3 linked regions of the Saccharomyces cerevisiae S288C genome follow. Changing the gene in region 1 together with any one later gene gives a genetic interaction. Each region holds a gene or a part of one and is shown in the gene's direction. Other genes may lie near its edges. The genes, in order: FRK1, CLC1 and SOK2.

Region 1 (4,953 bases):
CAGCGTAACCTGTGATGTATGGTCCTTAGGATTAACTCTTCTGGAGGTTGCTGGAGGGAGATTTCCATTTGAATCTGACAAAATAACGCAAAACGTGGCTCCTATAGAATTATTGACGATGATCCTGACGTTTTCTCCCCAGTTGAAAGATGAGCCAGAACTAGACATATCCTGGAGCAAGACATTTAGATCTTTTATCGACTATTGTTTAAAAAAAGATGCCAGAGAGAGGCCTTCTCCCAGGCAAATGTTAAAGCATCCCTGGATTGTAGGGCAAATGAAAAAAAAAGTCAACATGGAACGGTTTGTAAAGAAATGCTGGGAAAAGGAAAAGGATGGGATATAAACTTCCAACATTTTCCTCTCGTAACCAGAACTGACTTTTTCTACAACAGGAATTCTTTAACGAGACTTCTCCTCCTTCACCATTCATAAGTTTAACGATGTTCTTTTATTATCTAGACACTCCGAAATATTCTTAACATATACGTATATAGTTTACTGAAAACCGAACTAGCCATGGGCTATGAAAGTTCTCCTATTTCCTTACTTACATCAAATAGAAATGCGCATCCAAGTCTTTCTGGCAGGCACGCTATGATGTGCTAAATTATGACTCAAGTGAGTACTAGGCGCTTTTGTACTCAGCCGCGCGGGGAAAATTTCTTCCCTCCCTACCAAAGAGGAAAAAATCATATGGCGTCATATTATCCTATATACAACGGTCGAACAAAAATCTGCTCGACTCAGAAAAATAAAAGGGTTTTAACATACTTATTGCTTACTTAAGTTACCACTTCAGTAACTGGAGCTATAAATACAATAAGCGTTTTGTACGTAGAAAATATCCTCTATATTGCCTGATTTTCTTTAGTTCCGACAAGGGCTCCGACCACGGGACAACCCTTATGATTTCTGTTATAAGGCCTATTTGTTCTAGTTACGACGACACTTACTGCTGTCTCTTGACCGTTTTTGCTATACTCATCCTCTTACCATTAAAAAAATAAAGAAAATGGACTCGAGTAAAGATGAAACCATATCTCTTTAATCACAACATACTCACTCTATGGGAGATTCTATTCTCCTTAGGTTAGTAAATGGCATTATAAATTAGCAAGCGTAGCCTCTTCAGCCTATACATCAGCTGAACCTGCACAATTAATGTCATGTGGCCGACGTAATGCATATCCATCTTTTTTACTCCCTTAAAAGAAGGTTTAGCCCCTACTGTATACTCAATGAACAGATAATGTCTATCCATAAAGTATATCATTTCAGGAACCCTAAATAATAGTGCTATCGTTACATATACTTTTAAATTTCATATTGCATTAAAATGCCGCACACCTTTTATGTAAACAAAGCCGCACTTCCTAAAAAAGCAATTGAAAACAATCGAAAGAATGAGTGTAGAACAGCAAAAAAGGTAAACAAGAGAAAAATTCTGAAACCCAGATCAACACCTGTTTCAACCCCTTCATCGATTTAAATATAATTCAAGTTCAGGTCATCGAGTAAATCTATAATAAATCAGATCACAAAATCTGGTACACTGCTGTTGCTGATCACGGTTCTTTTCATCTTTAACACATTTTCGCAGTTTTTTGACTGTGCCACATTTTGCATTAATTTGTTTCTTGTGACGTGTTTGCGAGAATTTTTTGATTGCTAATTAAACCTAACAATAATCGCTATTTTTTTTACCCATCCACAATACAAGAAAGGCGAGCCAAGCGGCGTTCAATATTCAATTGGCCATTACTTCTATATACTGATTTAGAGTGCCAAAAATTTAATGTCGTACACCAATAAACGTCATACATACTACGGAGGGTTTACCAACGATTTGTCTGACACATTTCAGTACCCTCAAAGAACAGATGAGCAAAGGCGGAAACATGTAACGTTTGGTCCTTATATCCTAGGGTCGACGTTAGGAGAAGGAGAGTTCGGAAAAGTGAAGCTAGGCTGGCCAAAGAATTTTTCAAACAGCTCTAATTCAACTTTTGACTTCCCAAAACAAGTAGCAATTAAACTTATCAAACGTGATAGCATATCGAATGATTACAGGAAAGAAGTTAAAATATACAGAGAAATCAACGCCTTAAAACACTTATCACATCCGAATATCGTAAAATTAGAAGAAGTGTTGCAAAATTCTAGGTACATTGGTATTGTCCTAGAGTACGCATGCGGGGGAGAATTCTATAAATATATTCAAAAAAAAAGGAGGCTTAAGGAAATGAATGCATGCAGGTTATTTTCTCAGCTAATAAGTGGAGTACATTACATACATTCTAAGGGACTTGTTCACAGAGATCTCAAATTGGAAAATCTATTACTAGACAAGAATGAGAACCTAGTTATTACAGATTTTGGGTTTGTCAATGAGTTTTGCTCACGAAACGAATTAATGAAGACGTCATGTGGCTCTCCATGCTACGCAGCGCCTGAACTAGTGATAAGCGCCGAACCATACGAAGCTAGAAAAGCAGATATATGGTCATGTGGAGTTATACTTTACGCTATACTAGCTGGATATTTACCGTGGGATGATGATCCAAATAATCCTGAAGGCAGCGATATAGGAAGACTTTATAATTATATTAACTCCACACCATTAAAGTTCCCTGATTATATTCTTCCTATACCTCGGGACTTATTAAGACGCATGCTGGTCTCAGACCCAAAGAAAAGAATAAACCTGAAACAGATCAAGAAACATGAATGGCTAAAGCCTCATTCTTCATTCTTATCCATAACACCTGATGAGTGGGACAAACTAAACAATACTCAATCCGTGTTCAGATTAGCAAAACCAAGAAGAAGATATGGATCTAGACCACAATCCAGTTGTTCTACCTCATCTCTTGGCTCAAGGAGTGATAAAAGGGATTCACTGGTCATTGATTCAACTTTAATTACTTTCCCGGCTCCGCCTCAAGAATCACAAAATCATATTATAACCAGACCGGCTTCTATTGCATCTGACCAGCGGCTGTCACCTATAAGAAGATCTAATAGGCACAATAGAAGTAACTCTGCTGCATCCGTTGCCTTGCAGGCAGTGGTGAACGCAGATAGGGAATATGTGTTAAGTCATGAACAATCATTATCCCCAGTACAAAACATTAGACAAACTACGGGAAACATGACTGCCAGTCTTTCACCTCCACCAGCCATAAGTCCAGGCGATATTATAATCGAAACCACACCTATTAAAAGAAATACAATTTCTGGGAGTAGTATTGTACCAAGTTTAGAAGAAGAGTCGTCTACCACAATGCAAACAAGCAAGATTCAACCAAATAACATGGCTTCATCACAAAATCATCAATACAATAAAAATAAGACCCAAAATAGTCTCCAATCTGCTAAAAATTTCTACCGTACGTCTTCCTCATCCCATACAAAGCCACGGCCAACTTCATACCATCCTGGCTCATACACAACACCTCCCTACAATTCAAATACGCTCTCCATATATGAGATCAACGAAAAAGCTAAAAGTAGCGCTTCATCACAAACGCTGAATCAAAGAGACACATCCCCATTTGATTCCACACCATACCTTGCCCTAGATACATGCATAACCTCATCCTCTTCCATCGAAAGCTCTCCAAAGTTAATTACGCACGGCCAATTTTCAGTAGCAAAACCCTCTGTTGATTTGCAAAGCGTATCTGGTGACTTGATCAAGTATAAGAGGGACGCTGATGTAGTAACGAGAATCTATGATGAAAAATACAAACAGAAGCGCAAAAGTTTGAGATATAGCGGCATATTCAGTGACATCTCATGCGATACGGTCACCGAAGAGTCTGATGAATTGAGGCCACCAGAATCTCCTCTTCAACAACATGAAGGACAAGAATCAATTGATAAGGCGAAAACGGAGGACACAAGTGAAAAGGGTAGTAAAAGTAGCAACATCGCGAAAGCTACAGCACAAAAACACGTCAATAACCATCTAGAAAGATCACTTAACGAAGCAGAGTCAACAAAGAAAAGATTTAGCTTTCTTTCCTTGTACTCTTATGATACTTCCAAATCTAGTTTATACTCATCAATGGATTCCAAACGGAAACCTTCTCCACCTTCCCAAAGACGCCCAAAAAAGGATGACAGTTATCAAACAAATTCAAAGAATCATTATATCACTGCTTCAAATATGCAAACATCCCATCAAGTCTCAAAAGACCTGCCTGCACCAACGATGGTGCAAAATAAATGTACTTTAGAAACTAAAAAAGCGGTCCGAAGCAACAGGTCCTCCATAATGGTATCTGAGGTCAACAAGGCAAGCGTAGACAATAAAGCAGCCCAAAGTCCAGAACATTCAACCGCAAAAAGAGTATTAGGGTTTTTCAAAAGAAGAAGTATGAAAATCTAGAGATAATACCTATCTCATTTGACAATAATATCCACTTATCATATGAAAAAATCAGTACTATCTGCAATTTTTCCATTTAAAATGTCTGTCGCTAAAATTTTGCGATTTGCCAGACCAACAAAATAATGTTATAATATACTTTATGAAATTTCAATCTAATAAACATTGAGCATATATATGCATATACCTACCATATATATTTTGCATTACTAAAAACATCAAAAATTTTTCTAAATTGTTACTTATTATCAATCATAGCTTCACTCCGCTTGAATCACGTCTTCTAAGCGGGAACATTGTTTCACTGCGCTTACAGCGAGATTCGCAGACATTTTAAGTAAGAAGACAATTTCTTTTGCCTTTTGTACGGAATTAATTTTAAAAATTATACTATATATATATTAGTCTTTTCTATTCTCAAAATATAATAATATTAATAGTAATAAAAGAGAAAATAACGATGTTTAATAGAGTACTTATACAATCAACAAATTTAGATGTTGGATGGGTACAAGAAGATTCTAACAGAAGCACCGAAGGTCTTGGCTGGCAAATTG
Region 2 (3,270 bases), on another chromosome or scaffold:
ATTAAGCGCAATTGATAAATCACAACTCATTGACCATGGAATGTTTTGTACCGCTGCGTTGCGACTTAGATGGAAGTAATATAGAACAGTTACGTCAATCACACTTAAGCCGTAAATTTATTATATTTGATGAGCAACTGAATCTTTGGCTGTGGTTTCAAGGTAATTCGCAAGAGAACAAGAGATTTGTACTACAGAATATGATAATATTAATAAATGAAGCGCAAGTTACCAGAACAAGCACTATCGATGATTATTTTACCCAAGTTGAGAACAATGAAAATCTATGGAGGTTGAAAAACGACTGCTGTTCGAAGATTCTTTTCAAATCAAATGTTGTTATGAATAATGGTTATAATAATCAGATCAAATTTGTCTTTGAATATAAATCTGTGGATGCAAATTTCAATAACCAGGATTCATTACAAGATCCACAGGCAAAGTATACATTAGATAAGTACTCTAGCGAGGAGATTTTGCCAAGTTTTGAGCCAGTTTATTCCTGGTCTTCTGCAGCCACCAAATCATCCAAAAATACTAATAATCATCTGGAGAAAAATAACAGGGCGACTCATCGAGTTAGTTCTAAAAATAGCGAAGTCCACGAAGCGGACGTTTCTAGAAATCCGAATACATTTACTCTTAAGCTCCAATACCCAATATTCTCACTTTTGAATATGAGATTGAGAAACATCTCCTTGAAATCTGAGCATTGCATATTATCATCGTTAGACTTTCAAACTTCTAAAGCATCCGAACAACTGACCAAAAAATTTATTTATCCGCAAGAACACAATTCTTTTCTCAAACTGAACTTTCAAGAAATATCGTATAAACTAATCGACGGAACCTCTCAAATTGAACTAGATCCAATCTGTCCTTTGAAAGTGCCACTCACTGCATTTTCATACGATAGCATTAGCGCTACTTTTAAACTGGTTCTGTTACCCAAATCAACTCAACCACATCGTGTGAAAATCACCTTAGCGTACGAACTCGAGCTGCATCCCAATCTGAAGTTACCTGTGAGAACATCATGGGAAACAGAAGTCACATTGAAGCGTTCTATGCCAATTTCCTCGACATCTTCTCAATACTCGAGTAACAACAATAATACCAATCATAGCGCTTCTTTTAATGGTGCGGCCAACAACGTTAATTCTGGTGGTTTGGCCAATCTAAGATTAGGTGGGGTTTCCTCCTCAAGATTTAGTCTTGGAGCTGCTTCGACTACATCATTGGTGAATAGCAAATTAAGCAATGTAAAATTCAAGTTTATTAATAGCAATATAAAAGTTATTAAGGGCGAAAAGTTTACTATGAGGCTTCAGATCATTAACTCGTCATCATCCCCCCTGGATCTTGTTGTGTATTATAACAATACAATAAACCCAATCCCTTCAGCTAATAACGTACGTAACAGCAATGGTATAAACAACTGTGGCATGAATAATGGGACTATCCCCAATTCGCCCTTGACACTGGAAAATCAGTACCAACTGCATAATAAATATAGAAAAATTGCGGAGGGGATTATACTATTATCCAACGATTACAAAATTCCAGTTGTACCTCCGAGAGAAACATACTTCGCGGATTTACGATTTATTGGTATTATGTCCGGATATTATGGCACTCTCTCCGGACTTAAGGTATTGGATTTAAATACAAATGAACTTATAGAAGTTGGAAATGGCGCATCTGTGTTAATCCAGTAAGCGGAACAAGTATACATTTTATTAACATAGACTACATACTAATCTGTAACATTTCTATAAAAAAGTTATTATCATCACATTACACGATAGAAACACTTCCATATTTTTTTACACTGAAAGGGGCACCTAGAAGATTAAACAACTAAACTGAAAATATACGTGCTAGAAAAAGGGTTTTACAGCTTTACTTAGGCGTTGCGAGTCACCCAAAAGAGCAGTTGAAGGACGCCGCCGTTTCACTAGATACATATATATATAATGTCAGAGAAATTCCCTCCTTTGGAAGATCAAAACATTGATTTCACACCCAACGACAAAAAAGATGACGACACCGATTTTTTAAAAAGAGAAGCAGAGATACTTGGAGACGAGTTCAAGACTGAACAGGATGACATATTGGAAACGGAGGCTTCCCCCGCCAAAGATGATGACGAAATTAGGGATTTTGAAGAGCAATTTCCAGATATCAACTCCGCAAATGGCGCAGTCTCGAGCGATCAAAATGGTAGTGCTACTGTATCTAGTGGTAATGACAATGGCGAGGCAGATGATGATTTTTCCACATTCGAAGGTGCCAATCAGAGTACAGAATCCGTTAAAGAGGATCGTTCTGAAGTTGTAGACCAATGGAAACAACGTCGTGCTGTAGAGATTCACGAAAAGGATTTAAAGGACGAGGAGTTAAAAAAGGAATTGCAGGATGAAGCTATCAAACATATTGACGATTTTTACGATTCTTACAATAAAAAGAAGGAACAACAATTGGAAGATGCTGCTAAGGAAGCTGAGGCTTTCTTAAAGAAAAGAGATGAATTTTTTGGTCAAGACAATACGACCTGGGATCGTGCACTTCAATTAATTAACCAAGATGATGCCGATATCATTGGGGGTAGAGACAGGTCTAAGCTTAAAGAAATTCTTTTGAGATTGAAAGGTAACGCGAAGGCTCCCGGTGCTTAAATGATGATGAATAATAAGAACCATAATGAACTAAGGAAGAGAAGGGGCTTATTCCCTATCATTCCCGTCATACATGAGTATCATACTTGATAGGTTCAGTAAATAACTAATTCATACTGTAAATTCATTTATCAAGACAACTATAATATAGATTATTTACAAACTTGTAAACTCTTCTCTTCTAAAAAAACACATCACATAATACTAAGCTGAAACAAAAAGAATAGTATATATTTCCCAAAGTTGCAATGCCAATACTTTTTCAAGTAAACATTAACCAAGGACTTCGCAAAGAATTTTGCGAAAAATGGGCTGATTTTCATTTTACTTGTTGGATCCACGAAGGTGAATGTAAGAAGCATCACGATGCACCGCAATTTGTTGCCCATTAATCTGCGCCTTTTCGTGACGAATAAATATTCGATACACTGCCTTAATATAGTCCATTTTAGACTTGGAAAAAAACCCTTGGTGAAATATGAATTTATTATCTTTTCGTTTATATTTGCATAATTATCATCAATTGTAACTTCATGTATTTCATTTAGTCTGTCCATTACATGCTTCAAATTTGATGAAGATATGGGCCAAT
Region 3 (4,689 bases), on another chromosome or scaffold:
AAAGCGAGCAAATTACTGGTTAACTTATCGTATTTTCCGTACTGTGGTGAATCTTATGCAAAATGAACCTGGCTTTGGCGGGAGTTTTTTTTTATGTGACACAATGGCCTTTTGCCGGTGGTAAATACGCGCTTCAAAAAGGTTGTTACACAGCGGCACATTAGCATGACACAATCTTGATCCTTTACAATTACTACACCGCCAAGTATAAAGCTTTTCCCAACCAACGTGTTTGCCAAGTAATTTTGTGTAGAGTGCGGCTGACTAACAGCCTTAACCGGGTACTCTGTTCCCTGCATTTGCATAAAAACTACAAAGAAAAGAAAGAAGGAAATACTCCGAACCAAAGAGATACAACAAGAATACTTCTCTCATTACATCGGCACCTTCCTGGGGATTAATTCCTTACAAGCGCTGAAAAAATGAAGAGATGATTCCGTACTTCAACAATGGCTTTTAACCTTATTACCCCAAGAGAGTGTCTACAGAATTAAGGCCCATTTAATTTTTACCTTCCTGTTCCTGCATAACAGACACCCCTTACCCGCATCAACAGGAGGGGAGGAAACATTGCCAATATGTCTGCGAATTGTGACAACCAATCCGCATGCACGGTGGGGGGCGGTTGAAAGCGCCTAGACTTCCCTTTTTTGGATTGCTACGTCACCTTCGCAGCGTGCACCAGGTGCATTCACCACACGAAAAGATGCGAAAGCACACCAAGCGCGAAATTCCGGTTTTTGGCTTGTTTGTTTCGGGCTCCGCCTCATCGTCTTAGCAAATCTAGACCTTGTTGAAAAATCGTGCAGGGACTCCGTACCTGCACAAGCAACGCGGCATAATACATGTAGGGATACAGCAAAGATATTGTTTCTGAATGGGCAAAACATTGCTTTCCGCAAACGGCTTTTTCTTCTCTTTCCCACCACCGTGGGTCACCTTTTTCTTGCGCCTCTTATGCCAACACACTCTTCCCGTGATGCGAATGGTAAAGAAGTTAACAAAAAACACAAAAAATTCATATTCCGATTTCTCTGCAAAGAAGCCTGAGCGGGAACTGCATGTCCGCTTGACTTGTCTTCCCTCCGGTTAGCTGTGCCTGCAGGGAAACCGCAGTAGAAGGACTGCGGAAGGATCTTTTCCCGCCGTTGATGTAATCTTTAAAGTTAATTTTTCCCTCACACAGTTTGCATTTTTCCCGCATGTTGTCCGGTTTTTCTTTCTTTTGTTGCTTTTTCTTCCGTGGGCCTGACGGAACATTCCAAGTTGAGTGCGATCTGACTAAGGAACTAGTAGAGGCTACCGCTCAGTAAGTTTAACAGTCGGCTAAGCATCGATCATCTCATTCTTTGCCTTCACTCAGTTCTTCGCAATAGTACAGTGCTGCGCAATAGACGCACGTATCAGTGATGTATTCTTTCTCTTGTCTTCACATAAAAAGTACGTAGATGTGTTGCCCGTTTGTGTTTTATTAACTTATCGAATGTGGCAAGCCGACGATACAAAAGAAAAAAGTTCATCTTTAACACTTCTTTTTGTTAGTTTTTGAAGTTTTTCCCCACTATCTTTTGCATTAGTTGTGTGTGCCTGTGCGTGTGTAAGCCTTCTAGTATAGTTGATAATCCTTTTCCATAGCTTTTTATATTGCAAGCAGAGAGATATCATTTTGTGCTGTTTTCATTAAACATACTTCACAATTGTATAAAAAAAAAAAACCTTTTTGATCTTTGTTTTCAGAAATTGAAAGTGGATTTGTTAAGCACAGTACAAAATCATCCTTATATAACCCTGGTAAGGTCCTTTTGTCATGCCCATCGGTAACCCAATCAATACGAATGATATCAAGTCCAACCGCATGCGCCAGGAATCAAATATGAGTGCCGTGAGCAATAGCGAAAGTACTATTGGCCAGTCCACCCAACAGCAGCAGCAACAACAACAATATCTCGGCCAGAGCGTTCAACCTCTGATGCCCGTATCCTACCAATACGTAGTTCCTGAACAGTGGCCGTACCCGCAATATTATCAGCAGCCGCAATCCCAGTCTCAACAGCAACTGCAATCCCAGCCTCAGATGTATCAAGTTCAAGAATCCTTTCAGAGTAGCGGTTCTGACTCAAATGCTTCCAATCCACCTTCCACGTCTGTAGGTGTTCCTTCCAACGCTACTGCAACTGCGTTACCGAATGGTTCTGCAATCACCACCAAAAAAAGCAATAACAGTACTAATATCAGTAACAATGTACCATACTACTATTATTTTCCCCAAATGCAAGCCCAACAATCAATGGCATATTCGTATCCACAAGCGTATTATTATTATCCTGCAAACGGCGATGGAACCACTAACGGTGCAACACCATCTGTAACCAGTAATCAAGTCCAAAACCCCAATTTGGAAAAAACCTACTCAACCTTTGAACAACAGCAACAACACCAGCAGCAACAACAATTACAAGCTCAAACGTATCCGGCCCAACCACCAAAGATAGGTAATGCATTTTCAAAGTTCAGTAAATCTGGACCACCTTCTGATTCGTCCAGTGGCTCTATGTCTCCCAATTCTAATCGCACTAGTCGCAATAGTAATAGTATCTCGTCCTTAGCTCAGCAGCCTCCAATGTCAAACTATCCACAACCTTCCACCTACCAATACCCCGGTTTTCACAAGACTTCGTCAATTCCAAACTCGCATTCTCCAATTCCTCCAAGATCATTAACAACGCCAACTCAAGGTCCAACCAGCCAAAATGGACCTTTAAGCTACAATCTTCCGCAAGTGGGTTTGCTACCGCCTCAGCAACAACAACAGGTGAGCCCGTTGTATGATGGAAATTCTATAACTCCACCAGTTAAACCCTCTACTGATCAAGAAACTTATTTAACTGCAAATAGGCACGGAGTGTCAGATCAACAGTATGACTCAATGGCTAAAACCATGAATTCTTTCCAAACAACTACCATAAGGCACCCGATGCCCTTAATCGCCACTACCAATGCCACAGGCAGTAACACCAGCGGCACTTCGGCAAGTATAATAAGGCCAAGAGTAACAACAACAATGTGGGAGGATGAAAAAACGCTATGTTATCAGGTAGAAGCTAACGGTATTTCAGTGGTAAGAAGAGCAGATAATGATATGGTTAATGGTACCAAACTTCTGAATGTAACTAAGATGACAAGAGGTAGAAGAGATGGTATTCTAAAAGCGGAAAAAATCAGGCATGTGGTGAAGATTGGTTCCATGCATTTGAAGGGTGTCTGGATACCGTTTGAGCGTGCCCTAGCAATAGCACAAAGAGAAAAAATTGCTGACTATCTTTATCCCTTGTTCATCAGGGATATTCAGAGCGTATTGAAACAAAATAATCCAAGCAATGATAGCAGTAGTAGTAGCAGTAGCACTGGTATTAAATCCATCAGTCCGCGTACCTATTATCAACCTATTAACAACTATCAAAATCCTAATGGTCCTTCAAATATATCTGCTGCTCAGCTGACATACTCCTCAATGAATTTGAACAACAAAATTATACCCAATAATTCTATACCAGCTGTAAGTACAATCGCTGCGGGTGAAAAGCCCTTGAAAAAATGCACAATGCCTAACTCTAACCAACTAGAAGGACATACTATAACTAACCTACAGACCCTTTCGGCAACAATGCCGATGAAACAACAACTGATGGGCAACATAGCTTCACCCTTATCGTATCCACGCAACGCCACAATGAATTCGGCAAGTACATTAGGCATTACACCTGCAGATTCAAAGCCTTTGACACCTTCTCCAACTACAACAAACACAAATCAATCATCTGAATCAAATGTGGGAAGTATCCATACAGGAATCACCCTTCCAAGAGTGGAATCTGAATCGGCATCACATTCCAAATGGTCTAAGGAAGCAGACAGTGGGAATACTGTACCAGATAATCAAACATTAAAGGAGCCACGATCTAGTCAATTACCAATCTCCGCATTGACTTCGACGGATACTGACAAAATAAAAACAAGTACAAGCGATGAAGCAACACAACCGAACGAACCTAGTGAAGCAGAACCTGTCAAGGAGTCAGAGTCATCCAAATCACAAGTTGATGGAGCTGGCGATGTCTCCAACGAAGAAATTGCTGCTGATGATACAAAAAAACAAGAAAAATAGAACAACTATGAATTCCTTGGATAATTATGTTACTTTAATCAAAACCCTACCGCCCACATATATGTACATACGTTATGCATGAGGTGGACTCATGTTATAAATGACATCTATCACGCCTATAAGATAGACACATTGAACACTTCTTTCCTTTGACGTAATCTCTTTACACGTAAAAACTTCGTTATTTCCGCGGCGCGGTTGTGAACGTGGGAGGTTCCCCGGAAAACATCACAAGCAGCTGCTCGTTCGCGCATATGGGCGCCCACACCCCACACCCCTGGATTTTTTAAACGAGAAACTCGTAAAGAGACAGTGTATTTGTTCCGCAATTTCCGGGGCGGGTAATATTTGTTACCATAGTTCTCGAGAAGGTTTCCCTCGTTTAAGTCTGCGAAGTCTCGTACCTTTTATCGCTGCTGACAAAACATAGCCCAAACCTGCGTCTATATGCTGCCGGTGTTTATATCGCTATTGAAGAGAGCTCATGTTTCGGTTTTGAAAAGATTTTTTATCGAATCGGTTGT

Evidence for each region.
Region 2: mutations in FRK1 (region 1) and CLC1 together harm fitness more than expected from each alone (negative genetic interaction), as found in Saccharomyces cerevisiae (2 studies listed by BioGRID).
Region 3: mutations in FRK1 (region 1) and SOK2 together harm fitness more than expected from each alone (negative genetic interaction), as found in Saccharomyces cerevisiae (2 studies listed by BioGRID).

The regions. Positions count from the first base shown.
Region 1 is NC_001148.4:282,907-287,859, reverse strand, and holds FRK1 (protein kinase FRK1), read left to right. Parts: upstream 1-1,798; coding exon 1,799-4,396; downstream 4,397-4,953. Other genes in the region: putative mitogen-activated protein kinase kinase MKK2, read left to right, coding at 1-346; 60S ribosomal protein eL33 RPL33A, read right to left, coding at 4,890-4,953. UniProt on the Saccharomyces cerevisiae protein: Putative serine/threonine-protein kinase that may be involved in rRNA transcription and ribosome biogenesis.
Region 2 is NC_001139.9:830,480-833,749, forward strand, and holds CLC1 (clathrin light chain CLC1), read left to right. Parts: upstream 1-1,976; coding exon 1,977-2,678; downstream 2,679-3,270. Other genes in the region: TRS65 (Trs65p), read left to right, coding at 36-1,718; PEX35 (Pex35p), read right to left, coding at 2,873-3,270. UniProt on the Saccharomyces cerevisiae protein: Clathrin is the major protein of the polyhedral coat of coated pits and vesicles. In yeast, it is involved in the retention of proteins in an intracellular membrane compartment, presumably the trans-Golgi. The yeast light chain is important for cell growth.
Region 3 is NC_001145.3:302,712-307,400, reverse strand, and holds SOK2 (Sok2p), read left to right. Parts: upstream 1-1,807; coding exon 1,808-4,165; downstream 4,166-4,689. UniProt on the Saccharomyces cerevisiae protein: Plays a general regulatory role in the cyclic AMP-dependent protein kinase-stimulated (PKA) signal transduction pathway by regulating the expression of genes important in growth and development. May inhibit the switch from unicellular to filamentous growth.